Schizosaccharomyces pombe: one gene and its partners. The main gene of each other region encodes a partner of the protein of the gene in region 4 in a complex. Each region holds a gene or a part of one and is shown on either strand. Other genes may lie near its edges.

Region 1 (3,726 bases), on a different chromosome or scaffold from region 4:
ACAGCACAATGATTCAATTTCATTCCTTAACAAGAGCCATCTCTTTTTGTTGGATGCTTAGAACGCGTGGATTTTTAGGCTATTCAAGTGTTTGGTTTTGATCTATTTATCTATTTTATATTTTAATTTCGCATTTTATTTTGCAATGTTCAAGTTGGAACTCAAACGTATATAATCACTATTGGTAAAAGGCTCTTCAAAATGCCAGACGAAAAGTTACCTCAATACAATGAAGTTTGGAATGATTTGGAGAAGGGTTGTTTACATTCTTGTCCTTCATATTCAGTCAATAATCATGTAAACAATCCAATTGTCAAACAAAACTCAACATTAACACAACCATCGTTACGAAAAAAAAATACAATGGCTGCACCTGCTAGATTAAGAAAGCGTTCGGAAAATGTGCGACTTACACAAGCTAGATATGCGATATTTCATATCTTCCTTCCTTTCATTCTTACTTTATTGCTTTATCATAATTTTTATAATTATTTCGATCAGGCATTGGCGGATCTTAATTCTGTGGTTAAATATGTTATTGAAACTATAGTGTTAATATTTACATACGTGATGACAGTGATTATTGTTTATTGTAAGTTTTTGAGATGATTTGAATTCATGGCTAACGATTTTCTAGTTTCATTTTCGTTAATTAAATTAGCGTTTGAAGAAGCTTATGTTTATGCACCATCTGTAGCTAAAGCGAATGAAGGTCTAGCTAAACATGTAGCTAAAACGATTGCAGGCCTAGTTAAATATGTAGCTAAAGCAATTCAAGGTTTGGCTCATATTATTTTATCCTTACTGTTGTTTATTCTCGGGCTCGAAGTAATAGAACAAGATGAAGAGACTGGCGACGTTGAAATGTCGTCTATGCGAGGCCAAGCAATTACCACAGAGCCAGCAAGTGACAACACAATGGCTGAGGGAACCGATTGCAACACTTCTAAAGATGTAGAATCGGGCAGCAGCTAAAAGTCATGGCTAGAAAAAAAAATCAAGGGGCTGCCAACCAGCTGCGAGTGTCTTTTTTATTTCATTACTAATTTTCTTACTTTCCTGCAGAAGCTCCTTTTTTCCCCTTTATTTCTATTTCTTGTATTATTACCTTATACGCATTGTCACTTAATCATTTCCGATGACAGTCATCACTCTTTTTCCATACATACATTTTTGTCTCTGTTATAGAGTAAACACGATGTGTTTCTGTGGTGCTAGGAAAAGTCATTTAACTAATGAATCTGGTTGTCAATTATAAATTAATCATCCTCTTTATTGTTTTACCAAATTGATATACAATCCTTAATTATGACTTTGTAAGATTTGCGAATTAAAAAATTGAACAAGTAAGGCATTACTCAAAAGACGCAAAGTAGTGATTTAACCTTAGTTTCTGTTTAATGCATAAAATGAGGATTCCATATATCATTTTCAAGTGTTCGGAGCTTTAAAATACAGTATATACAGGAAATATAAGTTCAAACTTGTTTCTAAAACAAATAAAAATGAAAAATCAATTTGGTGTAGAGCGAAAACCTATTTTAAATAATGCGATTTCCCAATTCCTGGTCAGTAGCAATTTCTTTACAAAAAGAATTAAAAAATTATTCAATTTGTATTATATGAAATCTTTCGTATTCAAAATCTACCAACATTCAGCCCAAGCGAAAAGTAATATTTTTTGCTATGTCCATAGGTAACAATATAATTTATTTCAGAGAACACCCATTGAAATTGCTGCTTATATTAACTGTGTAACATAATATATTAGGTCACAGAGAGATTCATTGCACTTTAAGTATCGTTAAGCAGATACCGAAATACGTGAGCGACACTTTAAATAGATATTAAACTGCGTAGCTGACCAGTATTCAAATTTTCCGTCACTCACCGTATCATTAAAACATTTACTGTTTTTGGCTGCTCAACGCGCAATGCTGCCTAACATCTGTGCTAGCAAACGATATGTGTTTATTGGGCACAACGTTTATACGCGGACGCGCTATTAACAAACTTCGCATCTCTTACAAGCATATATGTAAACAGCCAATCTGTACTCGTAAAAGGAAAGAATGCTTGAAAAGAACAAGTATCTCTATATATTTAGGCATATTCAAACGAATCAGGTACTTTTATCTCAAGGAAATGTTTTAAAAAAGACTGCGTTGTTTCAACTTCCCTACCCACTTCAAAAGCCAGTCGCTCCAAATGGTATGCGACCCGCTAAGCTCCGTAAAGACCATTGGGTTCCTTTACTAAAAGTCGAATTTCCTAATGAATCAATGTTTCAATCTGTTTTTATGCAACTGTTAAACTATCGAAAATATCGTTCTGTTCAACCACTGACTAGTGACCTTTTGAAATTGCCTATACCCGTTCGTAGAAGAAAAATAATGCGACAAGAGGTTCCTAACACGATTGCGGACTTGGCAGATATTTTAAATAAAGAAAAATTTCCCGAAAATTCCGTTCGTTTGCAACTGAGTGATAAATCCGATAGTGAATATGCAGATTGGCCCCCTAGTGTGCAGATTGATTCAGAGGAAATTAAACTCTCGCGAGGTTTCCGTGAAAAAACAACCGTAGACGAAGCTAGATGAAGCATAATATCATTACTTCTCTCACTTTCTTCCTTCAAAAACACCCCTCATCCATTTTTAGGCTTTCTTAAAGGGCATTATATGAAGTATAAGCTAACACATATTCATATTAGCTCAATCTTTTTTACTTAATGATAAAGTCCTTTTTACTAAAGACGGTTACGAATTCTTCCCAGTGTATCCAGTGTATTGCACTGGACAGCTTCCTTAGCTTATCATTGTACTTCAATGCGAGAGTATTGGCTAGATACTCAAGACAAGATAAATTTAATACAAATCGACACCAAATACTCGTATCTTTATTATTTTACCATTTTGAAGTTTTCGAGCTCCTATGAAATATATGCAAGATTAACTCATCACTTTATTGCCTCGTTTTTTTTTTGTTTAAAGTTTGGTCCAGAATAAAAAAAAAATATTAGCATCTAAAATAGAAATCATGGACCAAATATTTAAATAGTTATAACAATGCCAAAAGAAAAGACTTTATAAACCAAAGACATAAATACCATAAATCGTTAAAGAGCGGTAGTTATAGTTAAACTCTTAGAGTGGATTAATGCACAAGGAGGTAATCCTTCCATAAATATTAATAAGTCATCAACATATTCCTCGCTTTTTCGAAAGCTCTTATGAGTGTCGGCCAAAGGTGCTGGTAAAACAGTAAACAATACAGAAGTATTTTTAGTATGTTTCAGCACGATTTCATTCATAATTATGTATTGAGATCTCGAGGATAAATCGTTAAACGTCAACTTCTCTTTAGAATAGTCCCTTCCTATTTTTTTCTTTGGTGCTAGTCTATCAGATGAACTATCTTCTCGGACCACGTTGGGCATCAGAGATGACTCAATAGTACTGTCAGAATAAGTTCTTCTATTTTCTTGTTTTGGTGATAAAGAACGGTTTCCGAAAGAAGATTCAGTCTCAAACGACTTTACTGAATGCATATGTGGCCCAAGGCGGAAACTCAATGGCACACTTAAAGGTGGAGCACTCTTATCAAAGCTGGCAGATCTAAAGTTATAACCAGACATACGACGTGGAAAACGAATAGGTCCTAAGGAATCTACAGTATTTCCTCTTCTTTTCTTTTCTTCCTGCCACCACGAGTCATCTTTCAGTA
Region 2 (3,747 bases), on a different chromosome or scaffold from region 4:
TTATCAATACGAACAATCTCTTCAGCTAATTTTTGGGCTTCGTCGAAGTTTCCTTCTTGCGCAAACAAATGATTCGCTAAACTCAACATTTGTTGCACTTCCACCGAGGGAAGCATATCAGCTCGACTAACACGTCCTCGACCTTTATGACCTTTACGGACTTTTCTAAATCCAGCAACTGCCTTTAAATTTTCTTCCCATTCCTCGTTCGCAATGTCGTCCTCGGTTCTTGAGGCTGTTTTACTAAAGTTTGATTCATCGTCACTGCCTTCATAATCTGACTCTTCGTCTGACCAAAGGCCCTCAGCTTGAAGGGCAGAGGTATCTCCCAAAAATTTTGCATCAACTTCAGATACATTCCTAGCCTCATCGACAATTTCGCTTATATACCCGTTTAGATCTTGCATTTCAGCATCAAAGTTGTCAGTTGTATCATTTTGCGTTTCATTCATATTGGAATCCACATAGCTATTTCCACCATTTTGAATCATCCTTTAAGATGCTCAATCATGCTTTCAAATCGGTCTGTTCCTTTTGCCTACTTGAAGTTGGCTGTTTTCGCGTTGGCGTTGGTGAAGGCAAAGTTGAAGTAAGTCATTATAGAAGTACTCAATAAACAAAGAGGTCATGGGTACCACATATCTTGTTCTACAATTGACTAATTAATATGAAGTCAATAAATATTAGTCCTTTTTTCCTGACACCAGTTATTTTACTTGCAACATTTTTGAATTGCAAACTTGACAATTTTGATGTTGTCAAAATACCTAATATCTGTAAGAATTTGGAAGATCCTAGTCAATCAAATAGTGTTTTTCACTTTTTTTTTTGGAAAATGGCATCTCAAGGCTTTTCATGTTGATTGACCTTTGTCAGTGTACACAGAGTATAGTATCGAAACCTTTCATAAGCAAACTAATAAGCTATATTAAACAAACGCAGATCAACCCCATCTTCGAATTGTTTTGAAACGAAAATGAACGAGTTAACAAAACAAATTTCCATAGTTGAAACTTTTCGTTGAAACTGTATATTAAATAAGATTTTTTTGGTATGTGAACTTATTTAGTAATTAATTAAGCACACATCCAAAAAGGAATGTGAGAAGAGTTTTGTGAGAAAGCAATGTTTTCCTGATACCTTGAATCCCTTAAACTCTTCATGCTCAGCAGGCTTATTACAGGTGTCGTAAATTCTAGTTTAACTTTGCTCAACTCGAAGGAAAAGCAAATTCAATTTATCAAAATTTCCAATATATTATAACGTGGTTGAAATTCTCAGTTGACCTGCCATTACTTTCAAACGTATAGAATCGGGTTTACAATGTATAAAATATTTACTACACAGATGATCAAACAATAAAACAAAGTTCTTCATTATTATAGCTAATGTGTTCAATTTCCTCTATGTTGTATTCCCTAGATCAATGTTCATTTATTTACACAGTTAACGACACCTTGGATTGTGTAAAGATTTTAGCACTGAGCGTCGCAAATTATGATTGAACTCGTTAATTCGCAGTCCATCATATTGTGAGTTCTTACCATAGGTTTAGTTGGAAATCCCCATGTTGAGTTATAATCGATTTCGGGGGTATTTGATTCCTCAAATTCATGCGTTAAAGCTGTTCAGATATGCCTCTACCGCATCTACAAGCGGTGAAAAAATTGAATCTTCCGAGAGACCCTACGATGTAGGGATGCTTCTACGACCAAAAACGAAGTTCGAGGTATGTAATATTAACACGAGGGTTACTTTTTATTTATCAAGCCTTAATTCATTTTTTACTAATTCTTATCAAGATTAAAACTTACAAACCTATATCTCCTGGTCTTCGTCATTTAAAAAGACCAGTTAGTGATTACCTTTGGAAAGGGAAACCTTTTCGACCTTTGACCGTTGCAAAAAGAAAAAAAGGTGGAAGAAATGAAACAGGAAGAATTACTGTAAGGCATCAGGGTGGTGGACACAAACAACGTATTCGTCTTGTTGACTTTGAAAGAAAAGTACCGGGTGTTCATCGAGTGATTAGAATTGAGTATGACCCTGGTAGAAGTGGTCACATTGCCCTTGTTGAAAAATTGAATTCCGAAACAGCCAACAAAAGTTATATTTTGGCTTGTGACGGGCTTCGCGAAGGCGATACAGTTGAGAGCTTTCGATCGCTTTTGAAGACTGGTTCTAATGGCGAGCCAGTAGAAATGGACCCCGTCCTAGCTGCTGAAATTGAAGATGGAACTTTTGCAGCAAAAAATTTGAAGCCAGGAAATTGTTTTCCTCTCAGATTAATTCCTATAGGAACTGTCATTCATGCCATTGGTGTAAATCCAAATCAAAAGGCAAAGCTATGTCGTTCTGCTGGCAGTAGCGCTCGTATCATAGCTTTTGATGGTAAATATGCTATCGTTCGTCTACAAAGTGGTGAAGAGAGAAAGATTTTGGATACATCATTTGCTACCATTGGTGTTGTAAGCAATATTTATTGGCAACATCGCCAGCTTGGTAAAGCCGGTCGTTCACGTTGGCTTGGCATTCGTCCTACGGTTCGAGGTACAGCTATGAATCCATGTGACCATCCACATGGTGGTGGTGGTGGTAAAAGCATTGGTAATAAACCTTCTCAATCTCCTTGGGGTGTTTTGGCTAAAGGTGGATACAAAACAAGAAGAGGTAAAAATGTTAATAAATTACTCGTCCGCGATCGTCCTCGTGGAAAGGAAAAGCGGTAATCATTTTATTAATGATCTCTGTCTTCATGACTTTTACATTTCTATGTTTTACATTACCGTAATGCATTTCAATTTTCATGATCCCTTCTCCATTTTAATAGTCGATGCTATTACCTATCCATTTGTGGACCAGATGCATTTATGTATAGTTATTTTGTGTCGACCGTCATTTATCGACGAAAAATTTTAAGCATTTTTTAAGAGTTTAGCTCTTACAATTTAAATCTGTATTGGTAATTTTTGTTCATCACAACGTTGCTTAAAGCTAAGGACTATCCCATTCAAAATTGTCGTTTGCTTACATCTACCTTAAAAGGGTTATCGATATCATTCAGGTACCAAAAGAGTATTCTATTAAACGCAGAAAAGAACGGTTTTATTTTAATATGGCCAACTAAATAAAAAAATTTTATTTATAAAATTGTAGCTAATTTAGCATATTAATTTTTTCTTGCCTTCGTCCAGCGAAAAGCGACTTAAAAGCGGATAAACTGGGTATTTAATATTTCTCTACAACACAATTAACGCTTGGAAACCCTGGAACGACGGTCTCTCCTTGATTTGCGTGGCTTGCGTCGAACTTGGAATATTCTTTCCATCAGTGTAAGGTCAGACACTTTAGGACCTAGTCGTTCATCTAATGGCGAACCCCTTTCATCTTGATTTCTACTGTGCGAAAGTGTTAGTAATTTGAATATAAAATTGAGTAAAAGGAGATTCTCAAAAGTAGAGGAAATGATTTTTGAAAAGTATGAGTGCACCCGGACTAATTTGGTTTTCACAAGTTATACCTTTTAGATTTGCTCTTCTGAGCCTTTTCTTCTCGAGGATCACCGTGAAACAGATAATATCTCGAGTAAAGATGTGCGCTTTTAACCTTCTTGTCTCCGTAGCGGGCGTAACGTATTTTGAATTGACACGTCGGTACAGTTGGGTGTGGTTTCGTTTGATATTCCAATTCCTCTGAAAATTCTGTCGGAGACTCCATAATTAAATGAAATAAAGCATTTCGTGAAAC
Region 3 (3,039 bases), on a different chromosome or scaffold from region 4:
TTTACATTTATATATAAAAAAAAAGACTTAATGAATAAATCCTCGATCGTTAAATAACGCCCGAACTTATTTACTCGATCACCGCTTAAAATTCTAGACAAGTTGGGCATAGGTCCATCGATAAAACAATAGAATAGAAGAAACTATAAAACTTTTTTTTATGAGAGAACAAACAACGAAAATACAAAAAATATAACACTAAGTATTATCAATTATACAGTTACGCAAAGCAAGCATAAGACCGTTGTGAATTAAATTTACGTCCAGACAAATCAAAGGTCTCTATTAATATTAATATGCCATTCACATTAAGAGCCAAACCAAAGCGTGTTAAAGGAATACATTGAATCCGTAAATATCCTAAGTACGAACAGGTAAAGAAAGCTAAAGTAGATATCTAACAACAACAAAAAACGAAACTTGCTAGCTCAAAATCACAAAACCATATTCAGCACATTTAAACGACCCAAAACGAAAGAAGGCCTTTAAATTTCTTTGAGCGCAAAAGTAAGACTGGGAATTTAAGCAGTCTATTTGAGGACATACTTGCGAAAAGCAAAGTAAGCAACAACCATCACAAGGACAAAGAGCCACATAGCAGGCTTAACTGGTTGAGAAGAATCATATCCACTTCCACCAGCGGCAGCACCAGTTGTGGGAAGCTGAGGGCCATCTTCAGTCTAAAATATGTTAGAGTGTCGAAGCAAATTTTTACAAAAATTTTAACGAGCCTATGGCGAACGAAGAGAAAAAATAAATGACATACTCTGAGCAAGTTTCCAATGTAAAATTTTTCGAGCAACTCCTGAGCATCCTCAGAGTGACCAACATCCTCGAAAGGACCGCTAGCATCACGACCTAAAACAAGTTAATAATCACAGAAACGAACAAAAAAAAGCCCCTAGCGATGGTAGAGAAAGGCAGAAACTTTGTATAGCCAATCCAAAAGCCGTATGTGAAGAATCGAAGCGATATCGTCAATCAATCTTTCCAAAATTATGTATTTCAGTGTATTCAGAGTACTGGAAATACAAAACATCGAGTAGAGAGCGATCAATCTTGGAACATATAGACTGTACTTAACAATTCACCTTCAATGACAATGTCGCATTAAACATCGTATTTATTCAGGATATCGCATCTATTTTTGTACGTTCCTACGGCAAAGATTCGTCCTGAATCTTTCAAATTAAAGAACATGTGTATATGCGACACCTAAACTCTCGTGAAATTCAAAGTTTTGTAACGCTAGTTGTCTGAAACTTCGATTTCTACGACTCCACACAATCGCGACCAATTTTTATGCATTACAACCAATCTTCCTCAAGACCTCCATTATCGCGTACCCCTAAAAATTTACTTACCGGCCAAATCAACAAGAACCTCTTCACCACCAGGGTGAGCGTCAAGGAACTTGGAAATATCATACACCTTGTCTTTTACAACAATGTACAAATCATCACGAGTGTTATGTTTTAACACTTCTTCAACAGTAATTGTCTTCTCTGCCATGATCAAGTTCTGCTTATTCTTCCTTAAAGGTGGTATTTAACGGTTATAACCCAGGAGCTAATTACTCTCGAGATGTTGGTTGCAAATGCCCTATCGCGATTTATCTAGCAGGTGGGAAGTAGAAATGAGCCGATTCTTACTGGCAGGTGGTCACGTGGATTCGAGTTGGAAGGTACACCCAAGGATATGAACTTACCCAAAACCTATATCATTCTTCAGTTAACCAACTCCACCATTTTGGAGGTGTAGTGTTTATATTTGAATGGCAATATAATATTTAAATCAATTTAGGACGCTAATCAAGTTAATTTTTGTTCACATCTTTGCTGTTTCGTTGGAGCCGTAAACTACTTTGTGACAAACCATCAACTACTCAGAATTTGTCTATCACCCAAAAACTTAACAAAAAATTTTTATTTGCTCTTTTTGATCCAACCTTCTTCCTCTCCTTTTGATTTTATACGAAAAATATGCTGGGTGCATTTAACTCGACTTTGGCTCGCTTTGGCGGTCTTGTTCATAAAGTACCTTGGAGATTATCCCAGCGAAGAAAATATCGTCACCGTCAACGACTTCGTGCCGTCGATGAGGTGGTAGATGTTTTGCGCACGGCGTTGCAAGAGAAAAATCAATCGTGCAAACGAATTGAAAGTTTCGTTGCTAACCATCAGCCTGAATCCCAAATGTCACCAAAGGATAAATACACTATGTTTACCAGGAAGACTCAAGGTGCCGGTCTCCAAGGCTTCCGCAAGGGTGTCCATAAATCACCAAAATGGACCCGTAGTACTAATCGTGTTAATCCCACTGGCTTTTAAAAACGTCTGGTTGCAAAAGTTTACTACTTTTTTTTTCATAATTTTAATGCTCTATGAATAATAAATGTAATGGATTATTTTAATAGCTTATTTTATTACTTTTTTATTGCAAAAACTCCCACCTCTTCCTCGTCTTCGTTCATATTCAATTTCCAGTTTCATACATATTCAAACAAACGACATTAGCCTTTAGTTAGAGTAAAGTTCATATCACCTCTATTATACGTCTCTTTAATTCTTTGCTCTGTAAAACAATACATAAGCAGACGATGTGACAATATCCTCCGGATCTATTTCACAAATAGCTGTATCATCAAACTTAAAGAATGTTTGGCTCGATGCATCTCTTGCATAGGCAGTATAATGACCATTACTCATAAACCCGTGATGATTGTCCACTGCATACAAATCGTAAAGCATCGATTTCTGTGACGATAGCCACTCATGATCTTTTATAAATGGACTCAAAAATTGCTTCAAATTGAGATCAAATACTGGATAAACTACTAAATCCCTTCGTTTACGTCTTCTCCGCAAATCTCCACCGTGGCCGCTGAATCGATTTAAATGAATGACTAGTATTTTTGGCAATCGCCAGATCTCCAGCCGTTTTGTTGCCGGTCGAAATGCCTTACACCCAGGACAATACCAGGAATCCTGTAAATCAAGCTGCTCTGGCTTGGAAAACTCCAGTAAACAATCTTCAAGG
Region 4 (3,552 bases):
CCCATGATAAACTCTTTTTAACAAAAACAAAGTATGAATATTAGATTAAAGATTATTTGAACACAACCAACCCAATTGCGCAACAAATTTTCATGCTGATACCCCCTTAGGATGCAAAGTATACAAGTAAGCCTCCGCAGAGCATATTCAGGAAATAAATACAAACATATTCTTACCTATGGGGCAATTGTCTCCAGGACTTGTGCATTGAGGGCAGCATCCATCGAATGGAACACGACATATACCACAAACGTCGTCTTTTGGGGTATCCCACGTCCAGTTAGCAATTGCATGGTATCCTAGTGGTTAGAAAACAATTTTATTTCCAAAATATTCGCTTACTCAGTATTTTCACCTTCATAGTCTTTGTATATTGTATTTGAGATCTAATTAAATAAACATTAGTGTTTTTTGCTAGCTAATGTTTTACGTTCTACCACGGTATTAAGAAAACAATTCAGGCGAAAAACAAAATGTCGTAAGAAGAGAAGAGTTAGTAGATTTACAGTTGATATTTGGCTTTAGCTATACATCTTTTCGTTTTCTGAAAGTTTAAAATTTCTAACTAAAACTAATTTTCATTGGACTGTAACAAGCCGGCTACATTCGACATGCTAACAAAATTTTTATATTTATGATACTTTGCTTCTTTAGCTTATAACATATTGTTGAGCTCAAGTTTTATACTTTTTTACATGAATAATTTCAAATATTATTCAAAATAATCAAAGCGCAGAATTATGAAGAGGCAAGCCTACATACAGCTCAAATTTATAAGAAAAAAGTAGAGGTTTTGATTCATAGTGCCTCACAAATTCATCTGGGAAAATTAATGGCAATGACATGTGACTTGTCGATTCAAAGAATGAGAAGGGGGTAAAAGGCTCAAAGGAGGTGATTCATTGCCGTTTCATGGAATCGATAATACGTGTTTTGACAAACAGGCTAAAGCCGAAATATACATCCAAATCTCTAAATCTGTTCCAGAAAACCAACCAACGCCTCTTATAATGCAGTTCTAAATGCAATAGCCTGTAGAAAAAGACAAGTAGATAGGGAAACATAGAGTGTAAACGAACTATAAATCATACAGCGCTTCTTGAATAAAATCATGAAAGATTCGCAAAAAAAAAGAAATTTACTTGCAGAAGTTGCAATGATTGTGTCAAGGTTTATGTTGATTTTGTTCAATGTATTTTCGCACCAGTGATTCAACAGGTGGAAGACGAAAGCGAGGTTGACGCAAGTAACTTAAGTATGCTCTTCTAGGTCTTTTAGATAGACCATTTTCTTTGAGGACAACAATACGTTTAATTTGTGGAGAGTAAATTGGTAACAAATATTCGACTCCAACACCCATTACCACGTTTCGTAACAGGATTGAACTTTTTGGTCCACGATGCCGAATTCGCAGTAGATAACCAGCAAATCTGTTGACTGAATCTTTTGATGGGTATTTTGAGTAGCTTTCAACCAGTAAAACCGCGCCTGGTCTTACTCGATTTGGCTGCGAGCGATGAAACATTTTGAATCGCTCAGATTGCTCATCCAATACTGAACGGCACTTTTTTTCGAATAATGATAACACATCTTTGTGCTTTGGACCTGGTACTGGCTTTGGAAAGTTATAAGGCCGTTTTAACGATCCAATACCTCTCTTTTGTAGCCATTGAAAGCCCAATCCTAAATTGAAAAAGTGTTTGGCATTAAACATGTCTTCCAAAAGTCATTAAATACCGTTCGTTAGTAAGAATGACAAAACACTATATTCTACAGAGTATCTTTTTAAGTAAGTACGATGGTATTCAAAATGAATTAGCAAATTCTGCACAACGTATTTCGTTATATGTTATTTATTGTCAACCTTCCATTACGCTATATTAGACTATGTAAGTTAATACAGTTGATTATATATTTTTATATGATTTATCCATCAAGGATTGTGTTTCTGACCTTGAATGTTCAAGGCAATAGAAAGATTCCTGTTGAACCCGAATGAATATACGTGTTCCAATTCAGTTACATGGCTTCTCATTGTAGTTATAATACTATCAATAACTCGCTGGTATTCAGAAAACTTCAATAGCAAGATTTGCTTTTTTCTTTCCACCTTAATGTTCCATTTTCGTAAAAGATATTATTTTATATGCAATCAATTATATACTCTAATATGAATATGCGTTAATGTAATCTCTGTATTCCTGATTTCGAACTCTCCTTAATTAACGTTAATTTTCTATACTATTTTCTCCACAAGCAAATCTTGCGAAACGAACGATACGATAATGATTTAGAAAGTTGATTTACTCAAAGCAACTTTAGTTTCTGTATAACATTTGATACTCTTTGATCAGTTCTTTTTTTATTTTTTTTGATTTTTAGAATAACACTTTTCAGGAGCTACTGTTCGAAGATAATCCTCTCTTTTACTTTGACTGATATATCATTTCTCTAAATTCAACAGATTATCACGTAAGATAGAAGTCATACATTCCTTTCTATTTCCTTCTCAGGTCCTATAAAAAAGTTACGACACACAAAACATTATAGAGATATCCATATTCAAGACAAAAATATATCAACATGAAAGTGTAAGTTGAAACCAGTCTTTTTTCTTTTTTTCTGTTTTGTCCATCTCTAACTAGCGTCTTTGGCAGGACCTGCTCTGCTCCTGGTAAAGTACTTATAGCTGGTGGATACATTGTTTTAGATCCTCAATACAGCGGGCTTGTTATTGGTTTAACTGCCAAAGGGTACGCTTCCACAACGACTTTGGACGATAAATGTGGAACGGTTCGTGTGAAAAGCCCTCAATTCATTAACGCTGAATGGCTTTATAATATTGATTGGACTGTATCTCCTATTCGAGTTCATCAGATATATGAAAACTGTGAATTGGAAAAAAATCCAAACCCCTTCGTTCAACTGGCACTTTTTTATGTAATTAACTACTTTTTTTCCACGGGGCGACAACCTTTATGCTGGCAAGATCTTCAAGTTACATTGCAGGTAGATAATGCCTATTATCACCAACCACAGTTAAAGCCTGATCAAACAAGCTATCCAAAATTCAATTTCTTAAACTGTACTTTAGGTCAAGTACATAAGACTGGTTTAGGAAGCTCGGCAGCTATGATTACAAGTCTTATAGGTTCATTATTTTTAAGTCTTAGACGACTAACAGATGACACTGGTGACAAATCTCTCAAAATTGATGATTCAACCAAAGTCATAGTTCACAATCTGGCACAAATTGCCCACTGTTCTGCACAAGGAAAAGTAGGAAGTGGGTTTGATGTTGGCGCTGCCACTTGGGGAAGTTGTATTTATAGAAGGTTTGATCCTAAATTAATTGAACAACTGCTGGTCCCATACGACGAACAAATAAAGAACATAAATTTTTCCACCGAACTGAGAAAAATAGTTTCTAAAAAATGGTCAGATGTTGTTCCATTTCAATTGCCTGCTACTTATTGTTTGCTAATGGGGGACGTAGCTGGTGGCAGTAGCACACCGGGTATGGTAAAAAAAGTACAGCAATGGCAAAAGGAA

The links.
Region 1: img1 (region 4) and mhr1 share a complex: the UniProt entries of both Schizosaccharomyces pombe proteins name them as parts of the mitochondrial large ribosomal subunit.
Region 2: img1 (region 4) and rml2 share a complex: the UniProt entries of both Schizosaccharomyces pombe proteins name them as parts of the mitochondrial large ribosomal subunit.
Region 3: img1 (region 4) and mrpl31 share a complex: the UniProt entries of both Schizosaccharomyces pombe proteins name them as parts of the mitochondrial large ribosomal subunit.

Annotation. Positions count from the first base shown.
Region 1 is NC_003423.3:1,799,605-1,803,330, reverse strand, and holds mhr1 (mitochondrial 54S ribosomal protein mL67 ), read left to right. Parts: upstream 1-2,040; 5' UTR 2,041-2,072; coding exon 2,073-2,600; 3' UTR 2,601-3,118; downstream 3,119-3,726. Other genes in the region: SPOM_SPBC18H10.18C (uncharacterized protein), read left to right, coding at 202-592, 638-975; vacuolar membrane cation-chloride cotransporter Vhc1, read right to left, coding at 3,119-3,726. UniProt on the Schizosaccharomyces pombe protein: Component of the mitochondrial ribosome (mitoribosome), a dedicated translation machinery responsible for the synthesis of mitochondrial genome-encoded proteins, including at least some of the essential transmembrane subunits of the mitochondrial respiratory chain.
Region 2 is NC_003421.2:694,355-698,101, forward strand, and holds rml2 (mitochondrial 54S ribosomal protein uL2m), read left to right. Parts: upstream 1-1,557; 5' UTR 1,558-1,567; coding exon 1,568-1,729; exon of another isoform or gene 1,730-1,753; intron 1,754-1,802; coding exon 1,803-2,729; 3' UTR 2,730-3,128; downstream 3,129-3,747. Other genes in the region: transcription factor TFIIIC subunit Sfc4, read right to left, coding at 1-491; RNA cap binding protein cbc3, read right to left, coding at 3,251-3,398, 3,521-3,747. UniProt on the Schizosaccharomyces pombe protein: Component of the mitochondrial ribosome (mitoribosome), a dedicated translation machinery responsible for the synthesis of mitochondrial genome-encoded proteins, including at least some of the essential transmembrane subunits of the mitochondrial respiratory chain.
Region 3 is NC_003421.2:886,876-889,914, forward strand, and holds mrpl31 (mitochondrial 54S ribosomal protein mL60), read left to right. Parts: upstream 1-1,710; 5' UTR 1,711-1,982; coding exon 1,983-2,330; 3' UTR 2,331-2,420; downstream 2,421-3,039. Other genes in the region: oca8 (cytochrome b5), read right to left, coding at 531-680, 767-858, 1,365-1,512; ubiquitin hydrolase Ubp1, read right to left, coding at 2,562-3,039. UniProt on the Schizosaccharomyces pombe protein: Component of the mitochondrial ribosome (mitoribosome), a dedicated translation machinery responsible for the synthesis of mitochondrial genome-encoded proteins, including at least some of the essential transmembrane subunits of the mitochondrial respiratory chain.
Region 4 is NC_003424.3:1,639,917-1,643,468, reverse strand, and holds img1 (mitochondrial 54S ribosomal protein bL19m), read right to left. Parts: upstream 1,775-3,552; 5' UTR 1,715-1,774; coding exon 1,166-1,714; 3' UTR 537-1,165; downstream 1-536. Other genes in the region: anaphase-promoting complex ubiquitin -protein ligase E3 subunit Apc11, read right to left, coding at 177-299, 343-361; erg8 (phosphomevalonate kinase), read left to right, coding at 2,584-2,591, 2,658-3,552. UniProt on the Schizosaccharomyces pombe protein: Component of the mitochondrial ribosome (mitoribosome), a dedicated translation machinery responsible for the synthesis of mitochondrial genome-encoded proteins, including at least some of the essential transmembrane subunits of the mitochondrial respiratory chain.